5 linked regions of the Nothobranchius furzeri genome follow. The protein of the gene in region 5 purifies or fractionates together with the protein of the main gene of each other region. This does not show direct contact. Links are inferred from orthologs where the notes say so. Each region holds a gene or a part of one and is shown on either strand. Other genes may lie near its edges.

What was found.
Region 1: the proteins of sin3b (region 5) and kdm5a purify together in Homo sapiens (affinity purification with mass spectrometry; 4 studies listed by BioGRID and IntAct, with this or other methods). This does not show direct contact. The link is inferred for Nothobranchius furzeri from reciprocal best matches to the Homo sapiens genes SIN3B and KDM5A.
Region 2: the proteins of sin3b (region 5) and sap130a purify together in Homo sapiens (affinity purification with mass spectrometry; 3 studies listed by BioGRID and IntAct, with this or other methods). This does not show direct contact. The link is inferred for Nothobranchius furzeri from reciprocal best matches to the Homo sapiens genes SIN3B and SAP130.
Region 3: the proteins of sin3b (region 5) and gatad1 purify together in Homo sapiens (affinity purification with mass spectrometry; 5 studies listed by BioGRID and IntAct, with this or other methods). This does not show direct contact. The link is inferred for Nothobranchius furzeri from reciprocal best matches to the Homo sapiens genes SIN3B and GATAD1.
Region 4: the proteins of sin3b (region 5) and suds3 purify together in Homo sapiens (affinity purification with mass spectrometry; 3 studies listed by BioGRID and IntAct, counting the BioPlex papers as one, with this or other methods). This does not show direct contact. The link is inferred for Nothobranchius furzeri from reciprocal best matches to the Homo sapiens genes SIN3B and SUDS3.

What each region holds. Positions count from the first base shown.
Region 1 is NC_091741.1:53,784,122-53,788,255, reverse strand, and holds part of kdm5a (lysine-specific demethylase 5A), read right to left. Parts: coding exon 4,099-4,134; intron 4,019-4,098; coding exon 3,899-4,018; intron 3,810-3,898; coding exon 3,615-3,809; intron 3,525-3,614; coding exon 3,343-3,524; intron 3,223-3,342; coding exon 3,098-3,222; intron 2,924-3,097; coding exon 2,773-2,923; intron 2,686-2,772; coding exon 2,565-2,685; intron 2,454-2,564; coding exon 2,277-2,453; intron 140-2,276; coding exon 1-139. UniProt on the Homo sapiens protein: Histone demethylase that specifically demethylates 'Lys-4' of histone H3, thereby playing a central role in histone code. Does not demethylate histone H3 'Lys-9', H3 'Lys-27', H3 'Lys-36', H3 'Lys-79' or H4 'Lys-20'.
Region 2 is NC_091756.1:60,898,520-60,902,653, forward strand, and holds part of sap130a (histone deacetylase complex subunit SAP130a), read right to left. Parts: intron 2,631-4,134; coding exon 2,472-2,630; intron 2,394-2,471; coding exon 2,294-2,393; intron 2,181-2,293; coding exon 2,065-2,180; intron 1,980-2,064; coding exon 1,858-1,979; intron 1-1,857. UniProt on the Homo sapiens protein: Acts as a transcriptional repressor. May function in the assembly and/or enzymatic activity of the mSin3A corepressor complex or in mediating interactions between the complex and other regulatory complexes.
Region 3 is NC_091759.1:18,088,228-18,092,595, forward strand, and holds gatad1 (GATA zinc finger domain-containing protein 1), read right to left. Parts: upstream 2,432-4,368; 5' UTR 2,205-2,431; coding exon 2,010-2,204; intron 1,648-2,009; coding exon 1,525-1,647; intron 1,451-1,524; coding exon 1,391-1,450; intron 1,303-1,390; coding exon 1,119-1,302; intron 1,046-1,118; coding exon 855-1,045; 3' UTR 632-854; downstream 1-631. Other genes in the region: chrac1 (chromatin accessibility complex protein 1), read left to right, coding at 3,715-3,867, 3,995-4,121. UniProt on the Homo sapiens protein: Component of some chromatin complex recruited to chromatin sites methylated 'Lys-4' of histone H3 (H3K4me), with a preference for trimethylated form (H3K4me3).
Region 4 is NC_091750.1:34,589,135-34,593,268, reverse strand, and holds part of suds3 (sin3 histone deacetylase corepressor complex component SDS3), read right to left. Parts: intron 4,078-4,134; coding exon 4,058-4,077; intron 3,952-4,057; coding exon 3,795-3,951; intron 1,970-3,794; coding exon 1,874-1,969; intron 1,777-1,873; coding exon 1,715-1,776; intron 1,640-1,714; coding exon 1,618-1,639; intron 1,298-1,617; coding exon 1,192-1,297; intron 469-1,191; coding exon 384-468; intron 1-383.
Region 5 is NC_091748.1:57,507,174-57,511,761, forward strand, and holds the start of sin3b (paired amphipathic helix protein Sin3b), read right to left. Parts: upstream 3,144-4,588; 5' UTR 2,942-3,143; coding exon 2,831-2,941; intron 1,822-2,830; coding exon 1,715-1,821; intron 1-1,714. Other genes in the region: haus5 (HAUS augmin-like complex subunit 5), read right to left, coding at 3,844-3,946, 4,479-4,588.

The sequences.
Region 1 (4,134 bases), on a different chromosome or scaffold from region 5:
CTGAGACAGTGAGGACCTCTTGTAGCTCTGCCATCGCCTTCTCCACAGCATGATGTGGAGCCAGTCCCACCCCCCAGTCGATCAGCCTCTTCATCAGCTCCAGAGTGACACAGTGTGGTTCAGAAAGGGTGACACGGACCTGAAGTTTGATGAAGATGGAAAAAGAGCTCTAGTCGTTTTACATTCAGGCTTTAAATTTTACTTTCTGGATTTCCATTTCAGAGCTGAGTATTTTAGGGAGTAAAATATTTAAAATAATTAAGTGATTTACTTTGAATGTGCACAGGAGACTGCATCATGAGTCACCATAAGGATTTGTAACCAGCATCACTGACAGTTGCTGCTCGAGGAGACACGGTGTGTAAAAACAGAGACTCTTGATGATGTAAAACTATTTTCCAATTCTCAAAGGTTTCCAATATGCAAATTAACTCATCCACTATTAGTTTAAAAACCTCTTCACACTATCACGTTTACAGCTTTTTTTTTCTTTGTTCTTCTTCATATTTACAAGGTCATCTCTATGCATTTAACCCTATATAATAGTTTGTTCTTTGAGGCTCCAGAGCATTTGAAACTTTAGGCGTGTTTCCACGAGCGGAACTTCAGGGTAAATTTACCAGCATTTCCCGGCATGCGCGTCCATTCCACCGGGCCATTTTCCAGGCCATTTAAGGAATTTTCGGTGTGCACGAATAAGGACAGGGTTAGAGCTCACATTAATAACATAATTCGGTCAGCATACTTCCATCTACGTTCCATAAACCGTCTTCGCCCCTCACTGACCCCTCACACTGCCGCCATTCTCGTCCACAGCCTCGTCACCTCCCGTCTCGACTATTGCAATTCACTTCTTTATGGTCTCCCCAACAAACTCCTTCATAAACTGCAACTGGTCCAGAATTCAGCAGCCCGTATTATCACCAGAAACCCTTCCTTTCACCACATCACCCCGGTTCTCCAACAACTTCACTGGCTCCCAGTTAAATTCAGGTCCATCTCCAAAATTCCCCTCCATACCTTCAAAGCAATCCACAACCTCTCTTCTCCATATATCTCAGACCTTATAAGTATTCACACCCCATCCCGTTCACTCAGATCTTCTTCTTCCATCCATCTTGCGGTTCCTTCTGCCCGTCTCGCTACCATGGGGAGCAGAGCTTTCAGCCACTCTGCTCCTCGTCTCTGGAACTCACTTCCCCCAGACATCAGGAACATCGACAGTTTTACCCTTTTCAAAACTAAACTCAAAACACATATGTTTAAATCTGCCTACAACCTCTGATTTTACTGAACTGTTTCTCTCAGTTTTTTTTTCCTTGTTTGGGTTTTATTATTGTTTTATTGTATTTTATTAAGTATTTTCTGTCAAGTGACCTTGGGTGTCCTGAAAGGCACTTTTAAATAAAATGTATTATTATTATTATTATTATTATTATTAGTTGGAGTCCCTGATTAAATTGTTTTTTTTTCTTGCCATCTTATGGAAAGAAATAAAGTCTCAAAGCACAACAACGTTGCAATTCTTTGAATAATCAGACGTGTTAAGCCTCTACAATCCTAACAAATCCCTGCTAAGGGACAGGTTTACTAAAGTCTTGGCTGGGATTGGTTAAAGAGTGAGTAACACCTAAATTAACCTTTTTGCTGATAAAGATAGATGAGTGTCTAATAGTGCTGTAGACATGTGTAACCATTAGTGTGGCAGTTTAGTGCAACTTACGTTAAACTTATTTCAGCCCCAAACCGTAATTCTATCACCATCTTCAGGTTAAAAACTCATCTCCACATTTATTTAGAATCAGCTGTGGCTGACGGCTAAGCTGAAAAACGTGACATTGTCAGCAAATTACTACAAGGCTGCAATGCACTGGTCTCCAGGTGAGGCAGCCGCACCTCCATCCGGCTCAACTACTCACCTGCCGATATGACATGTTGGAGCTCTGAGCTGCTTGCCTCCTTTAAAAAAAAAAAAAAGCCCTCCTCCCCTTTTCGTCTAATGATCTCAGTGGACATAAAATCCTCCAGAATGCTGCAGAATCTGTGTCTGCTCTTCTCCTGAGAGGTAAGTCTGCTGTGAGTGTATGCTTGCTTCCATGTGTGCTCGTGGACTTGTTTTTCAACAGAGAAACAGCGCACGCTGGGGGGTTGCCATCTGTCATTGCCTCAGTGCTGCTCTCTCGGTTCATCAGGCTCTTTTAGAAGTGTTTTGTTAACAGGAAGTGTGGATGAAATACGTCTCCACCCAGGCCTTGGCTCCCACTTTAACAGCTCACCTCATCAAGCCACCTGGCCTGTTGCAGCTCCTGTTTGAGTCTAGGCAGCTCGGGCAGCTCTACGTCCAGGCCGCTTCCCAGATCCAAAAGCTCCTGCAGCTTGGCGGAATCGGGCGTCTCGTCTGATAAAGCCACCTGGGCTCGCTCGTGGAAGTCCTCCACAGTCTCCAGTAACTCCTAAAAACACATGGGGAGTTAAAGAAAAGAGGTCAGATGTCATCAGAGGAGTGAAGCAGGAGGAAACATGCTGTATGTGGGCATCGTATAACAATAACAGACAGGACTGACTTTGACTTGTCGCGCCTGGCTGATGATACATGGCAGCCTGTAGAGCTGGCCCACAAAGGCTTTCAGCTCATCTACGGTCAGTTTGGTGCGATTACGGCTGCTTTCAGAACGAAGGCGGCTGCTGCAAAAACAGACGACACCGTCAGCTCTTCTCTGGACCTGACAATGGGAGCTCCACTGCTGGCCTGTGGTGTGAAGGTGTACAGACCTGTGCCTCTGCTTACGGCTGAGCAACAACTGAGCCACTGAGGAACACGTCTCCGCTTCTTTCACCATCTCCCTCAAGCGACGGAACAACGAGTTCTCAGGGTATTTCCTGTCTTCTGCGTCCTCCAGCAAAACCTTGAGTTCAATCAAATCTATAAGACAAACAAGGAGATAAAAATTCAAAGGGATACGTTCGAGATTAGATTTCTGTTTCAGTTTTGGAGCTAATAGATAAAAGTTCTGATCAGATTGAAAAAGGAACATGTTTTATGTGCATTTTCAGGTTATAATAAGGTTTAAGACTGTGGAGAAAAACATGCATGGACCTTTTTTGTTCTTCTGATCCGCTACCAAAGCTTCAGAGACCCTCTTGGCCCAGGTGTCGTAGGACTGAGCCCGGGTCTTAACGCCATACAACATGGATGGAAACTCCTCCAGATCATAACGATATCTGAGACATAAAAACGAAGCTGAAGGTGGTTAACGGAAGAAATGGAACACCAAGTTAGGATCCCGACTTCTAAATTTAGCCCACAAAAGAAACAGGTTTTTTATTCATGAAAATTCCTACCGAAGACACTTGTTGCCAAGAGGACAGTCGCAGAGATCCTTGGCATGATGGAGGCAAACCAGCCGGTCCGGACAACAGGGACAGGTCAACGCCGAAAGGAAGCAGGTGGTCTTACACTTGTGACACTGACGCTCATCGTCTGGAACGAGCTCAAAGACCTCCTGTTCTGATGACAGCACCCCCTACATCCAGGAAACAAAAGATGATTTTTAACGGTTAGGTTTGAATTTCAGCTCAGTCACGGTGCAGTCCAACACTTTTGACATGTTCACCATTTCTTGGACAGCCTGCCTGAGCTTCGTCTCCTCCTCTATCATCTCTCCCATCTCCTTGAAAATGGACGCAGCCAGTTCCACGTCGAGGCTCTCGGGATCAGCCGCCATCTTGCACAACAGTTCTTCGTGGGAGAAGACGCAGTAGCGGTGGAGCCGTCGGTAGTGAGCAACGCACTGGCGCCCCAAAGGTAACTGGGAGAGCATGTGAAAGCGTGACTAACTCCGCCGTGAAGGAAACAAGAGCGGTGTTAAATGGAATGTGCTAGGAGGACTCTCCTCACCCAGTCAGCTGTGCAGAAATTAACAGCTTCTGCAAAGTTGTAGCCCTGGTTGAAGCCGCTGTGATAGGCTCTGGGGAAGGTCACCACAAACTCCCCGGCACACTGGTTAGTCCTGTAAACCTGAGACGCAGTCACAAAGATAAGGCCGGGGAACAACAGAGACCATACAGACACGTCCTCAGATCAAACATCCACCCTACAGGAACACCGTGCTCCATGAGGACGTTTGGATTCAT
Region 2 (4,134 bases), on a different chromosome or scaffold from region 5:
AAGTCAAGACGCCTGAAGCGATGCATCATATGACTAAAAGCAAACATTTTAAAAGTGCTTTTCAGTCCATCGGTCCCAGCGTGCTCTCTATAATTAATGCTTCTCTGGTCTCTGGTCAGGTCCCTGCTTACTTTAAGAACGCTGTAATCCACCCGCTTCTTAAAAAAACGAGTCTCGACCTCTCTCTCCACAGCAGCTTCAGACCCATCTCTAAACTTCCATTCATCTCCAAGATCTTGGAAAAGGTTGTGGCTAAACAACTCACAGCTGCTCTTGATCAACATAACATCTATGATAGCTTCCAGTCAGGTTTTCGTAGAGCTCATTCTACTGAAACAGCTCTTCTTAGGGTCTCCAATGACCTTCTGACCCACAGTGATGCAGGGGACTGTTCTGTTCTGGTCCTGCTGGACCTGACTGCAGCCTTTGACACTGTTGACCATCACCTGCTACTGGAGAGGCTGAGAGACTGGGTAGGCCTATCAGGATCTGCTCTGGAGTGGTTCTCCTCTTATCTCTCTGAGCGCTCCTTTTCTGTGGCTGTCCTCAAGTTTAGATCCTCCACCACCTCTCTCACCCATGGTGTCCCACAAGGTTCTGTGCTGGGGCCTCTGCTCTTCCTCCTCTATCTGCTTCCTCTTCAGCACATCCTGAGCTCCTTCAAAGGAATCTCCTACCATCTTTATGCAGATGACATCCAACTGTACATCTCCTTTAAGCCCCATGAGATGTCTAAGCTGCAGCTGTTACACACCTGCTTAGACTCTATCAAAGCCTGGATGGTGGGAGCTTTCTTCAGCTGAATGAAGATAAGACTGAGATCCTCATCTGTGCCCCAGACAAGCTGGTTCCCAAAGTCAGAGACTCTCTTGGTCAGCTTGCTTCCCACACCCAACCTTCTGTCAGGAATCTTGGTATGACCTTTGACCCAGCTCTCACCCTGGATTCTCATGTCAGTTCTCTTGTTGGCTCTTCCTTCTTCCATCTCAGGAACGTTGCTAAGCTGAGTCCCATTCTGTCCCGCTCTGAACTTGAGACAGTTCTCCACACCTTCATCTCCTCACGCTTAGACTACTGTAACTCTCTTTTCACGTGTCTGAGCAGAACCTCCCTGAACCGTCTACAGGTGGTTCAGAACGCCTGTGCTCGGCTTCTGACCAAGTCCTCCAAACACACCCACATCACCCCGCTTCTCCTCCAGCTTCACTGGCTGCCAGTCAACTTCAGGGTTCATTTCAAGATCCTGGTTCTGGTCTATAAGGCCTTACATGGACAAGCACCATCTTACATTGGTGATCTTCTTAGTCCCTACACCCCCAGCAGGTCCCTGAGGTCCAGTGATCAAAGCCTACTGGTTGTGCAGCACCAGGCTAAAGGTCAAAGGTGACAGGTCATCTGCTGCTGTGGCCCCCAGACTCTGGACCTCTCTCCCCCTGAGCCTGAGATCAGTGGACTCAGTGGTCTCCTTTAAAAAGCAGCTGAAGACTCACTTGTTCAAGCTGGCTTTTGTATGACCTTCTTCACCTCTCTCTCTTTGTTCTGCTCTCCCCACCTATTCCACCTTCCTCAGGATCCACTGGTTTCCTTCTTTCCTGTTCACTCTCTCTCAACATTTTTTCTTTTAAATCGCAACATCTTATTTTTGCTCATTTTAAATGTATTTTTAAACATTTTCTAAATGCTTTTTTATATTTTTACATTTTTTGTTTTTGTGAAGCGCCTCGTGATTTTTGTCTTGAGAGGCGCTATAGAAATGATATTTTCTTCTTCTTCTTCTAAAACTAAAAAGGTGTGAACTGCTGCAGGTTAGCTGATTGAAACGTAACCTCTGATCTCTTCCATAGATGTAGAACGTACCCAAGAGTCCCATCCGAGTGAGTGACAGTTGGGTTGATAACTGGAGACTGCGTTCTAGTTGCTGAAATGGGGGCCACAACAGTCGGGAGCACAGCGGTGGAGGTTGTTACAGCAGGGCGCGACTGCAGACAGAAGGACAGAATATGTTACACAGACGGTTTCTTGTTCGGAACAACTAACCCCTCCTCTAGGTTCAGTTCCATGCACCTGAATAGTCTGATGGATGATGTGCTGCATTGTGGGCTGGCCAGGGCCCCCGCTCGCTCCAGTAGCAGGCCGCAAGGCTGTTTTGGAGCTGGACATAACAGCTGCTTGAGCAGCCCCTGCAGGGTAAACCATGAAATGACTTATTAAAACGGCTGAGTGAGAGACAGAACTGTTTCAACGACAAGTAAACATCAATCCTGGTGTACTGATCGTATCAGAAACTTCATACCTAGAGGTAAATGGGAAGTGAAGGTCTGGGGAGGGACGGCGGGCGCCCTAATGATGTGAATATTTGCTGGCATCAGGTGGTGTAAGTTACTGGAGTGACCCTGAAGCAGCAGGAAAACAGAACACGTCCATAACAGGAAAACCAAACTAAACAGAAAATTCATGTGACAAACACTCACCTGTTGACCACTGATGGTTGCCACGGGGATAGATGGCGTGGTGGGCATAGTGCTCTCTATGGTGACAGTAATGTGACTTGCCACCTTGGACATATGAGCCTGGTTGGAAGCTGGTGCCGGGGCGATAAGACGGCTGGGCATCGGGGACTTTAGTACAGCCTGAAAAAATATTGTGTTGAATTCTTAATAAAAATGTACCACAGCGTTTTCTCCTCACAAAAATCAACTCACAAGGTGTTTACAAATACCGGAGACCACTGCAAATGTATTGAAAAAACAAGTGAACCTGGCCTTTAGGGAAAACGGCGTGGTAGAGGGATGGAGTCCTACAGTACTTCGTTAAACTGGCTACATGTTTAGCAGGTGAGAATGGGGTGGGTTTTATAGCCTCAAAATCATATCACAGTAGTTCAAGGTCATAATGATAATCGTAAGAATTTAACAAAAAAAACTAAAGAAAAATGCAGCATGTCATCTGTGCCTGCAGCTTGCAGGTATCAGACCACCGGCTCGCCACAAAACGTATCCATAATGTGAAAGTCCATCGTAAAGTACAAACAAGTAGGGCTGAAACGATTCCTCGAGTACCTCGAATAATTCGAGTACAAAAAATCCTCGAGTCAAATTCTCTGCCTCGAAGCTTCGTTTAATTCATGTTTAATTAATTAATGGCTTTGCAAGCGCCCGTGGTCATGTTTCACCCGGTACGAAATGAGTGACGCACATACACACTGCACTGAATGCACACGCGAGCAGCGAACGCAACTTAACTTTCTTTTAAGCCACGGCGGACAACGTGGACCCCGGTGGAGTGCGAAAACGAAACAAAATGTCAAAGGTGTGGGACCATTTTTCACGTCGTAAGGTGGAAAACGTACTCCAGTGTAAATACTGTAAAATGGATTTAGCCTACCACAACACCTAGAGCTGAGGAAAATAATCAAATAATCGATGCATCGGGATGCGGACATAAACGATTCTGCATCGTAGAAGAGTACGCCATAATCGATTATAGTGGAATGTAGTTTTGTTTTTTTAATGGCGGCACCAGCGCAGATCCAAGTCTGTCTGAGTGAGCGTCCTCCACATTTACCTCCGCCTTAATGTGGTACTGCAGGGCTGAGCACTAGAGTTGTCACCCGAGACCAAACCGGAACAGAATCAGCCCGACCGGTTCTGTTGGATTTGGGCCGTGAATTATGTTAATTGAGCGGTTGTCGTGCGGCGCGCTCCGCTCGCTCGATCAGCGACAGAGAGAGAGAGAGAGAGACACTGTCTGCTCAGAGAGACGATCGGAGGACGCTCCTCCAAACACGCGTTATTATTTTCATAATTTAATTATTATTTCTCCTGGAAGCGCTCAGTCAGACTGCTTGTTGTAATGTAGGGAGAGCCGGTCTTGGGGAGGGGGCGGGGTCAGTGACAGCGGCTGCAGCGTGATCGTCTGTCTCTTTTATTTAGGGACACGGAGAAGTTAAAAGGAGAGAGAAATAGAAGTTCTTGTTCCACTTTATTATTTTGTGTCATGAAGATAAACTGATGTTAAACTCATCTTAAAGAGAAACTGGGAGGAAGCTTTGGTTCATTTTAAGTTACAGGAGGTCTGTCTCCTATCTGCTCCTCCAGAGACAGCATGGACATGAGGGTTAAAGGGTGAGGGTCC
Region 3 (4,368 bases), on a different chromosome or scaffold from region 5:
AGAAGCAGCTGTGTCATGTCCTTCGATGGGACACGGTGTCTGTTTAGGACTTTGTACCGCTGAGATGGGCAGCTTTACACTTCAGGGAGGTTTATTGGTAACGCTTTACAATAAGGGTGCCTTTATTAGCGTTACACAGTGTATTAAGCATTAATAAAAGCTCGCTTAATTAGCATTAACTATTAAGTGTCCTTAAGGTTGGGACAAAGGGAGGGGAGGGGGTGTCTGCTTAGTAATGCATGACGTAATATTGTTAACTTTAATAGTTTATTAATGCAGAAAGTAATGTTAATAAAGGGACCCTTATTGTACAGTTTTACCAGTTTATTATTCACAAGCTTGGTTTTAATATCTGGACCTGTATTACATTTGATAGACACGATTAATTAAACCATTTTCTATTTATAAATTCATAAATATTGCATTCAGTAAAATTGAAAAATACATTTTTTGTAATTGATTTATTATAAAATAAACAAATCCGTTTTAAATTATTTATTGGTGTTTTTAAATCTATAGAATGTAAATAAGAAGTAAAAACTAAACATTTCATTTCCAAATAACAAAATAATATTATTTGCAGGATACTGAAATTCTTGCACAAACTTTCTTCAACAATAACAGGCAAAACTGATGCTTGAAGGGTTTTTTCACATTTTTTTATTTGCAAATTTATTCCAATATTGCAGTTATGTGTAAACAACTTGTATACGCCGTCCATCTAGTATCAAATTGCAACTTTCCTTTATACTGAAATAGTGGCTGCCGTCCGCAACCATTTTCTCTATGTTACATAAATGTACATTTATCTGTTTGACAACAACAGGCAACAGGCCAAGTCCACATCGGTCCTGTTAGCTCGCGCTGCTGACAGACTCTTTGACAGTAAGAGTTGGTGTGGATCCTATGTGGGTCCAGATGTAACCCTTTTCAGGACATATGGGGATGGTGGGGAATGGGGAGCTCTGAGACTTGAAATACTCCGATGGGGCGTGGCACACAAACTCCAAGTATTCCATCTTTCTGGGTAGATCCTCCTCTGGTCCTGATAAACATAATAAAGCGAAATAAGATAAATCACTCACAAAAAAAATCCTTTATTTAGCCACAGTTCTTACCGACGATGTACGTTCCAGGGTTAAATTGATCGCTCGAGCTGGCCTGAGTGGGAATGAGCCACGTCAGTGCTGCACTTTTCTCACAGTACTGGTCCTGCACAAATCCTCTGATCTGAGCGTAGTACGGCTTTCCATCCTCCTCATCTATCACTTTGATCACATCGCCCACCTGGTAGTAAACGCCCTGCAAATACAAACACAGGATGGAAGAAGAAAAGATTAAAGTATCATCATTACGATGCCTTTTAGTTTAATACGAATCAGAATCATACCTTATAAAATATAGATTCTGATGTGATGATTGTTGCTACGGATTCTGGTGCTTTGATAGGCTGCGAGGAAATAATTTGGATGAGGTCAAATAAAAGATATCAGAAATAAATACATTAAAGAAGCAGAAACTTACATTTTTGAGCTTGAAAATGTGTCTTCTTCCTTTTCCTTTTGTTGACACTTTTTTCTCAGAAGCAGGAGCTTTGTACTTGGTGCTTCTCAGCCGTGCAGACCTCCTGTGGATTTCCTGTTTGGACTACAAATGGACACATTTAAATATTTCTGCTCCTGATGGCATTTTTTCAGCAGAAAAAAAAACTATAAATCAGTTTATTTTAATTAAAAATATTAAACTAAATGGTAAAATTATTTTATTAAAAAAATGACATGAAGTATTATTTTCAAACTATTTTATTCCAGTTTACTTTCTAGAAACATTTTCATGGCCACCAGGGGGCGCTGTTGTTACACCAAGACACTACTAAAGAAAAGCAAAAACAATGATGTTATAGTCATGTGTACGCTTTCTAAAAATTAACTAAAATAAGACATAAAAACTAACAATTCCTCATGAACTCTCGGATTTTGTTCGTGGCGTTTCTCTTCGGTGTTTCTGACCTGCTTGGCCCCGCCGTTGCTGGGCTGTGTGATGGTTGATATGGAGGAGGGTCCCGAAGCTCCCCCGCCGCCGCCGCTACTGCTGCTCTTCCCTGTGCAGTTGTTGCACAGTATTTCACCCTGGGTGCCTTTCTTCCACATTGAGGAAGAGTTCGTCTTACAGACAAAGCAGCACGGCTTCAAACCCAGAGGCATTTTACCGGCTAGAGAACGATGCCTCCGTACGTAAAAACGATCACAACAGAAACGCAGCTGCTTGGCTTATTACCAGATCACGACCGGATGTAGCTTTAGCATATTTCGCCAACGATTATCAAACAAAAATAACCGTAAAGACATCAAAAAGCCTTAAAACACAACGAAGTTAAAGCAGCATTATTTATGTACTGACTTGTTTCTACTTTCAGCGCGGAGGTTCTTCTTCAGCGTTTCCTTTGTTCTGAGGTCGGAAAACTATTGAAGTCAAGCGCCGCCTACTGGTGTGGAGGACTGCGTCGGGCGCTGGGCTGGGGCAGCTAAATGTGAGTCAGTATTTCCTTATTATCGTTGTTAAAATAGATATGAGTGCATGAACAACAACTTTGTGTTTTTTCAGGATTAAAATAATAAACTATTGATCACTAGTATCACTCATTCACATGTTTAAAAAGTTTGGATTGATATAGGAATTAACTTATTGAGTGCTGAAGCAGCGGCCTTCTTCTTCTTATCATTATTATTACAATGGGAGATAACCGTTTATTTGATTATTATCTGTTTAACAAAGTTGTTACTTTCCATGCCTTTGATTGTATCTTTTTCACTCTTTATTTTTACAGGTTTTTGCTGATTGAAAGACTGGCTTTCCCCACTAACAGACAAATAAAACGTCTTCTACTTTAAATTATTTAAATTATTAATATTTTTATTGTTAGTAGTAGCTAGTAGAAGTAGTAGAAGTAGTAGTAGTAGTAGTAGTAGTAGTAGTAGTAGTAGTAGTAGTAGTAGTAGTAGTAGGAGGAGGAGGAGGAGGAGGAGGAGGAGGAGGCAGAGTAGTAGTGGTGGTTGTTCCTGTTTTTTAATGTATTTCATATTTTTTACAGATTTCCTTAAAAGTTTTTAGAAAATTGGTATAATCCTTTGAGGAACTAAAATAATGTTAATTACTTTTGTTTACTTTTATAAACAATTCTGCAGTTTATTTTACTGTATTCTAACAAACACATTTTTACACTAGGACCTGTGATTCATGGAGAATAGAAACAAATGCAAACAAAATAAAAAGAGTTCCATTTCCTTTGCCTCACTATGGCAAAAATAATGATAGAGTTTATTCGAGATTATTCATTTGTATATTTAAGTATATTATATTAAATTATATTATATTAAATATAATAGTTTTAAACAAGCTGAAAGTTGTTTCTCTCAAGCATGGTTCTGTTTTGACCGTTTCCCAAGAGCTGGTTGGAATGATTGTCAGGTACTTTTTTAAAATACAAATATAGTATCAGGGTAAAATTTAATTACTATTTATTAAATTTAATCTAAATATACAGTGTTGTTTGAAATAACATCTTTTGTGCTGGGTTATACTCCTGCTTTCCAGCGGGAGGCGCTGTTTCAACGTAAAGACCACCAAAGAAATTGAAGACGGCGAAGAAGAAAGGCGTCACTCTTCAAAACAAAACTTAAAGTTCAGTCATTCTTGTCCTTTGTCCAAACAGAAATGTCTCGAAACAACCCAAACAAAGACAGCCAGACGCCGGACGCCAAAAAGTCCATCTCTCTCCCGGTGTCCCGGGTCAGACTGATCATGAAGAGCTCTCCGGATGTCTCCAGCATCAACCAAGACGCGCTGTTCCTCACCACCAAGGCTACTGTAAGCTGCCCTTGATGCTAATGTGGTTGTGTTTCTATTAGCGGGGGGTTAGCATAACTAGCTGGTGGTTGAACTAAAATCGTGTGAAGTTAAAATCGCTAAATATAGTTTTTAATCTGTTGTAAAGGAGCTGTTTGTGCAGCATCTGGCCCTGTCCTCCTTCAACAACGGCTCCGGGAAGGACAGCAACACCCTGGAATACAGCGACCTAGCTAAAACCACCGAGGAGAACGAGACCTTCCACTTCCTCACAGGCGAGTCTGGAGCTGAGCATCAGCGCGTCCTGAAGCCAGATTATTAGATACACTGGCCTTTATTGTATTTTAATGTTTTATTTATAAATAAGTGTTTTAATAAAGTCCCAGACACGAGGAAAATAGCAAAACGCCATTGGAAGCTAGCTTTTGGACCATTTAGGAAGATTTATTTTAGCTTTCCTGTATTTTACTGCCAAAAATGAAAGATTGGAATGAAACAGAATCAAACCAATAAAAAAAAACT
Region 4 (4,134 bases), on a different chromosome or scaffold from region 5:
AAAAAGCATGTTTCTATGACAACGGGAGATGGCGTTTTAAACGCACGAGAAATTTCAACACCGTAAACGAGTCTCAACATCGATTACACGACGACTAATATTAACATAATCCACACCTAAAAATGCATAACAGTTCCCTAAAAGAGCAAGAATAAATGAAAAGTTACATTATTATTTATTCAAGAAAATTCCTTTAATTTTCAGTAGATCAAATATGTATTTTATTAATTAGCTTCGTGATAATCGGAGATTTGTATCCGAGTTGAACGATAAATATTCCACAGAAGATTCGGAAGCTCTTGGCTTCAGATTAACGACACAATAACCAAAAACCTCTTCCTACGTCTTTTAGGACGTTTAGTTTCATGAGGACCAAGACTCACCTCGTTGGTTCCTACGGAGCTGATGACACAGCTGATCTTCGTGCTGTCTTTTGATTCCAAGTAGATGGCTTGACTCTTGTGGTACCTGTCACCAGTAAAGTCACAGTTAATCACCTGTGGAGGGAAACAAGGGCTCGCCTTTTAAAACCATATCACTTCAGACGGAGCTTCTCCTGAGACGAACCGAGTCGATAACTGGACTGAAAAGTGAAAACAAAAACCCGTTGCATATTTTAAGACTCCACACATCAAAAGGACAGAAACGAGCGAGACGAGACTCGCTGAAGTGTTTGATCATTAAGCCCACAGAGGAAGAACGACACGTGTTTCTGCCTCCGGCTCTTGGAGGTGTTCCGGTGTTCTCGTAAATGAGACTTCGCCTTCAAAGACGAGCGCCAGTGCCTCTCGACCTCTCAGCTTTCCGTCTACATCAGCAGCTCATAAGAGAAGTTTATTGCGGCGTCTCCTTTAGAAGAGCCGACGTGTCTGTCGAAGCCGCGTCTGGTCAAGGTCTCTTATTATCTTTACTCGGGTACCAAAGCAGCACGAGGAGCTGCTTCCCTATGCAGACGTGCTCCTGAACACGGATTTAACAGTTGGAGTCAGCCCCCAGCTCGTACTGATGTCCTTATTCCTGTCGCCCAGAACTAAACTCCAAGTTATTCAAATATAACAGGCCTGCGTGTGATGAGTCATCAACCCCGTGGCAACGTGGCCATCTAGTGGTGGCCAAAGCTGTAGGCACCCCAGGAAACACTACACCATGCGGCACAAAGGCCCGTTTAGATTTGAACACTTGCTCTTTTACCATCTTTTATCGTAGTAAAGCTTCCCGTCTTCGATGCGGGCTTCGTAACGCTGAGAGGGAGTCTCCAAGGGCGCAGACGGGATGTGTTCTGGAGACGAGGGAGACACTAAACACACACACACAACCGGTTAGCGACAAGGCACCTGAGGAAAAAAACCCATCAAGACGATGCTTCACACATTACTGGATCTGCACAAAACACACACATGGTATTGTTATGGATAATTGCTTCATGCATCATTTCTAGGTCAGAAAACGCAGACTTTTGCAATGGTCGCCAGGCAACCAGATGAAAAGGACCAGTGATGAGTAAAAGTACTTAAAATGTTCTTTCAGGTGAGAAAAGGCGATGCTTTCATTACAGTCAGAACATATCACAAAATCCGTTTATGTGTGAACTGGTTCTGTTGCGGGTCTTTAACATACCTGGTCGTTTCGGAGACTTGAGCTGTAAGAAAAGCATAAAAATGTTTAGAAGACAAACACACGAGAATCAGCAGAGCTGCGGGAACTTCCCACAAACCTTATTAAGTGTTCTTAAATCTTCCATTATCTGCTCATCTGTCAACAAATAATTTAGCTGAGGTTTGAGGAGTTAAGAAGTAAACAGATTTGGCTCCATCGGTACAGATCCCGAGCAGGATTAAGTCGAGACTGACGCCCGAGCTTGTCTGAAGGATATCTGGTGCCGGTTTCCTCCGCTTGTCTGGAATTGGAACTGGATCGTTGGGCCGTCTCCTCAGCTTTCGAGTCATGATTGGTTTCACTTCCATTGAGTCTGTCAGTGAAAAAATAAATAAATACATTTCTGTTAAAGAGACAATCTGTAGTTTTTACCGTTAATCTCTGGAAAAATCCATCGAAATGTTGTTGAAGACGAATAAAATGATGCCCAGTTGTTGAAATATTGGCGGCTTCGTACCGTACAACCATGAAAATCGGGTCTGAAGTACACAGGGCGCAGGTCTAACATCTTGGGGGCCATATTAAACACCATCTTTGGCCGGCTCGTGGTCCTGCGCCTGGCGATGATGTCACAACAGATGATTGGCTGGACGTACGGCTCACAGAAGTGATGCTCAGAGATTTAGGCAGTAAGAAACCCAAACTTAAAAACAAAACGGCTAATCTCTGTCCAAAGCCAGTGTGAAAGAACACATTTACTGGGGCTGCATGGTGGCGCAGTGGTTAGCACTGTTGCCTCGCAGCAAGAAGGTTGTAGGTTCGAAACTCGGCTGTGGCCTTTTTGCGTGGAGTTGCGTGTTCTCCCCATGCATGGGTGGGTTTCCTCCGGGTACTCCGGTTTCCCCACAGATCACAACATGCCCTATAGTTAAAAATAATAATAAATTTGGATAAAAGCGTCTGACAAATAAATAAATAAACAAACGTAAACATAGAACAGAATCAAAAAAGAGACGCAATATATTTTCGCCGAGGGGTATTGCCGTAGTATGGTGGCGTCATCGGCAGGCGCAGGACCCCGAGCAGAACCAGAAACTACGGCACCTCTAAACTGTAAACGGCACTGCATTCTCTCGATGGCATTAACTGAAGGACCATGAGGAGTCACGCCAAGGTCACATGCTTCCTGCTCCACAGGTAACAACATTTACCATAATGCCTTTCTAAACTAGCAAAGGTCAATGGCGTCAACCTGCCCTGAAACACACGTACTGCCGCCTAGCTGCAGGAAGCTACACACCGCTACTTTAACATTAGAGACGCTCCCATCACGGTTTTGGTGAATGGTGTTTAGTGCCATCTTGTATCTTCTCAAAATGCAGGTTTTTGGTTGCGGCAGAAGCGTCTCAGGGAAGATACCAGAGGGGAGGGGTGAGTGTTTCAAACCTAGCTTGTTGTGTAGATTCACAGCTTTAAAGAGCAAGTCACCCCCAAATCAACTTATTATTCCTGATAAACTATATAAATGTGTGTCTAATCGTGCTGCAGACACGTGTCGTCAATAGTTTTGCACTTTAGTGCATTTTAGTTCAAATTTAAATATTCTGCCTAAAACTGTCAGTGTTGTGCCGTTGTCAGGTAAAAACTCTGCACCGCATTTGAATTTAAATCTGCCATCACTATTGGCTAAGAGGTACCCTAGAACGTCGGCTGGTACCATATGATGTCACAATGTTGTGAGCCTGTGTGTGTGTTTGTAAGCGGCTCCACACTTTCGGTCTGCTAGGCAACAGCATTTGTTGCATTTTTCAAACAGGAAGTGGGAGTGGAGTTAAGACTCTGGTAGGGGGTGACTTGATCTTCAACAGACAGCCATACCAGTGTTTCCAGAGCCCAGACTGATGAGAATGGCACTAAGGTTAATGTCTGACAGCAGCAGAGTACATTCATTTTAAGATGCATTTAATCTGCTGATGAAATTATTTATATAATTTCTTCATACAGCAAGTTAGCTTACAAATACTTTACAGGAAGACAAACATCCACACATGCTGTATGTTGTAATTCTGCTCAAAGGTAGAGATAAAAGTTTTGGTCCATATCGCCCAGCCCGACGTTAAATGTTCAGGAACTCATATCCACTCTCTTTTGCCAGTTTTTTCCTCTCAGGGCAAATAATCACTCTCAGGTTTCCTTACCGCCCGTCAGCTCCATTGTTAACTTCTCATTCTCTATCATCTTTTTCTTTTCCTCCAGCTCTGCGATTAGATTTTCCTTCAGCTCGACCTTTTTATCGTCAAACTCCTTCACTGCTGCCTTCTTCTCCTTGATGTAGTTCCGCTCCACCTGTTCCGTCTGGACGAAACCAAACGCGGGAGAAAAACGCCAGGAGTACGCTGCAATTCTAAATAAGTAGAATAGAAACAGCGCTTGGCAAAAACGCCTTGCTGGGCGTGCTTACCTCGAGCTGAAGGAATAAATCTGTAAAGTGAAAATTAAAACAATTTTGTCATTTAAAAACTCTTCAACAAAACTAAA
Region 5 (4,588 bases):
TTAGGTCATTCTTGTATAAAAGGGTTTTCCTTTCGAGTCAGGCGTACCTACAACTGTAATCAAGTGGTTCAAAGAGTGTGCTCAAAGTATTTGCCTTTTTCACAGGACAACAACAGGGAGTTGTGAAGGCAACGTCAGCATTCGTTTTACAGCAACGATTCACCAGTCTGAATTAATTAAAAATATATTAAAATTTTTAAAAGAGGAAGTTTGTCTGCTTTTATCTACGATGTGATCTACTAAGAATCTTCTAAAATGAAAGTGACCCAGACACAAGTGCTTGATTGTGAGAAGTTTGTACAAATGTTGCAAGACTTTAGACATTATCATGATGCTTTTGTGGAATATATGTTTATGTTTATTAATTTAGCAGACGCTTTTATCCAAAGCGACTTACAATTTATAACCTATAGGGCATGTTGCGATCTGTGGGGGAAACCGGAGTACCCGGAGGAAACCCACGCATGCATGGGGAGAACACGCAACTCCACGCAGAAAGGCCGCAGCTGAGTTTTGAACCTGCGACCTTCGTGCTGCGAGGCAACAGTGCTAACCACTGCGCCAATATTTGGGTATATATTGTTGGGTAATGTAAAGAAGCATGTCTCTGGGTCATTTTCACTTGTGCATCTCCTGGGAACCAAATTGCTTATATGACATATCGCATGTCTGTCAATAATATAACAGATAATTAGTTTGAGTTTCTGACCTATTTTGAACCTTTACCAAGAACCAAAGGAGTAAAAAATATGATTGTTTCCTTTTTGCCACTGTGGTTCATTTATTTTTTCTTCTAAATGTTTTCTTAAATGACATCTGAAACAGCAGTCAGCATTTGTGACCATCATTTTCCAAACTAGCAGACGTTTATAAATGCCAGCTGGCAAATTTGAAAACAAATAGCATTTATGAACAGCTGTTGTGTGTGCCACCCAGCACCACACAGAGGCACAGACTGGTGATTTCGAAATATGGTTAAGGTAGGGAAAAAATTAGACAAGTAATGAGCTCACGGACTTAATTTTACTACTGTACTATAAATCTGTTCCCACCTTTTTGTTTTAAACTATACTAGCGTTTTTTTTTTTTTTTTTTTTTTTTTGCAGTGGTGGTCAGTTTGTCACAATATTCCTGTCTCTAAGAATTGTTGATTAAAGAACAGCAAAAAAGTGGTGTTCATTATTTCTGTGTCAAAACTTGGGGTAGATTAACGTTTACTGTTTTTTATACGTTGGCATCATCTGATATTTGTCCTAAATAAAGCAGATTTAAAGTCAGGCTCATCCTTGGGCAGCCCGGTGTGGTTGCAGAATTAAATTTAAATGTATTTTTACATTCAGTAATAACATCTGCATAATAAACACTCCAAATTAACTTTATGTGTCTGACTTTAACACTGAGCAATACACAAAGATTTAACAATTAGTTAAATTAAGAGTTCAAAAACAGATTCAGGAACTTTGTGCATCAATCGATGGTGAAATTCTAGCATGAAAAGGTGGAAAATGTCTGGATATTGGCCATGAAAAGCAGCCCAAAAAAATCTGCAATACACATCAGCCACTGACATTGGCATTAGAAAAACCAATATCGGTTGACCTCTAGTCAAAACAAAGAAAACGTTTGAGATCAAGAACATTGTCCAACTCTGAACAGCTTTGATCAAGAGTGACTAATACAAACGTTTAGTCTGCTTAGACATAATCACAGATACCTCTGAGACTTGAACTCTTTCATGATGTCGAGAAACTTGTTGTATATTCCTGGGTCATTTGCAAAACGAATTTTGACTTGATCCAGATACGACAAGGCATCTTCAACCTGATTACAGAAAAAAAGAGAGAGAAAAGGATAATTAGTCTCAAACAGATTACATCTTGTTGATGGTTGAAGATGAATTTGACGGACGTTGGATGAGACAGCTCCCTGCTTACACCACAGTACTTACAACGTGGCTCTTATAATTATACAATGTAAATATCCACTATCATGGTAAATAATATATTTTTTAATCAAAAAACAATTTGCAGATCAAGCTGCACGTGTTCGCTTAATTACATACGATAAAGATTTAAATATAAATAACCTCTGCAGCTTTGGTTGATTGCTCTGGAGCTCTCTAAACCAAACGAGCTAGTTTAGACAGCGAAGAGAGAGGAAAAAAAACTGTTCACACAAAGCACTGTCACCAACAGACTACATCTGAAGAGGGTTGTTGTAGCTAACATTAGCCAACACAGCCAGTCAACTGAATACTCCCCAACACTCTTAACACCCACCCGCATACAATTTTTACACAATACGTTTAGTCGCAGCTGGTCCCCGGCCAAATGTGTCGTATCGGCAAAAGCTAAACGACAGGTTAAAAACACACTGCGACAACAAAGACACGTAAAATGAAGCTGCTAATCAACTGAAGTAGCCGTTGTTGGTTGGCCTGGCTGATGTCCCCCACTTTGTTCAAGCTGACTGAAAAAAATCCAACAAGGAGGAACTTCCCACAACCGAGGTCTGCCGTTTTATGTTTGCTCACAGCAGCTACCATTGATGGCGCAAATGAAAAAAAAAAGAAAAGTACTACAAACCGAGTCACTCGACTGTCACTCGCACACTCATTAATGGAAAACAGCTTCCACGTCTAACCTTACATGTCAGTGTCGAACAATTCAGGTGTGAAATACTTTTATTTGTCCAGTTAAGCCAACTATCGCTAGCCAGCCGTTTCTTTCACTACTCTCGAGCGGGGAGAAATCTAATGCGTTGAAATGAGCCGACGAACAAAATGGTTGTGACTGAGACTTTTCGCTTGTCGTGTCCGTTGTCCTCTTACCTTCAGCTTCTGGAAGTGCTGCTGCTGCACTTGCTTTTGTGTTATAACGTAAGGCTTGTCTTGAATTTGGTTTATTTGCTTCGCGGCGCTGTGCGCCTGAATCTTCGCCATTATCCCGGCGGCAGGGGGCTCGAGAGCCGCTACCACAACTTACGAGGGAAGCTTCGATGTTACCTCCAGTTGTTGGCTAGGCGACAAACGTTGCTCTCTCGGTCGGGAAGCCAGCCTGCCTGCCAGCAAGCGAGCAACCCTACTTTGCCTGGCTGGACAGTCTCAACACAGAGGCGAAAAGAACAGGGAACCCCGGGCAGAGTGGAGGGTGATGACTGACAAGCTGCTACTCGCCGAGAGTGCGACCGAACATCACCAGCGAACTCAGCAGACGGAAGCACGAACGGTAGGGAAATAAGCTCGAACACAATGGTTGTCGTTTAACGTTTTTTAAAAGAACTATCGCCTGTCTCTTTAAATTCGGCGGCAGTGGTCTGTCTTGGCGTCCGGAAGCCAGAGTAGGAGTGAAAAATAAGAAGAAAAAAAATGAGTGAAAAATTGAAGTGCGCAGCCGCAGCAGTGGGAGGAGCCGAGTTCACAAGAATCAGATTGCTCCACTCCCCCTTCACTGCTACAAAGAACAATGTAGCTCCGCGCTAAATGACACACGCGCACTGTAGGTTCAACTAAAACCCTCGGAACTGTAACCGTACAGAAAATGATCGAGCTATCGATGCACGGCTTTATTGTAACACCACGTGACCACATCCAGCATGTTTTCTGTGCAGGAGTAAATAGTTCTACACGAATGAATTGCGGGTAACTGAGCGAGGCAATTAAGCTAAGACAAAAACAAATGAGTAAAATTTATTGATGACTGCATTTTACATGATAAAACGAGTTCCAACAAGAGTACAACACACACACATTAGCTTACACATGTGCACTAGTTAACTAACAGTATAGTAATCTGTTTCTTAAAGGTTCCTAAAGCAAGAGGTGTAGAAATGTGGAGGTGTCAACTAGCAGGCTTTGGTAGCTATTCTCCACCTCTGAAGCCACTGTTGGAAAGTCAGCCCTCCTTTAACGACATCAGGTAGGGCATGCTGGGCTGGTTTGTCCCACCTACACAAACAAACAAAAACATAAACAGTAAATACAAAATAACCCTGAAAATTTTAAGAATAACAACATCAACGTAAAATAGACTAGGCTTGCTAATGACAGCTTTACCTGTATAACTACTTTTTCTGTGTAAACACCTCATCCTTTGTGTCATGCTGTGGTATGCATACCTTTCATGCACACCTCATACTGCAGCTAATATGTGAAAGTAGCTGCAGGAAGAAGTTATAGGAAAAAACAAACTTAACAGTTATCTTTGAAATGTAGCCTGGCTGATAACGTACCACTTTCATTTTCACTACCAGATCAGGTTTAGGTAAGCAGCACACTACTTAATGTGCTTTACAACATAGCAAATTTGTCTAACAGGTATTTTTTAAAGAACACATCTAATCAGAATCAGAAGGGTTTTATTGCCATATGTGTAAGAAATCACAACATTACAAAACTGCAGTGTTGACATTTTACTTTGTTGCAATTTCTAAAGAAAACAATAAAGTACAACTATTTTCCTGTCAGAATTGTCTCTCACCAGTCAGAGATGGCAGTTTTGACTTGTGCTCCATAAAAAAGGCCCTGTGCACAGTGATGGGTGAGGCCTCTGGCTCTTGGTAGCAAATCCTTCAGAAGCTTCTGATCCTC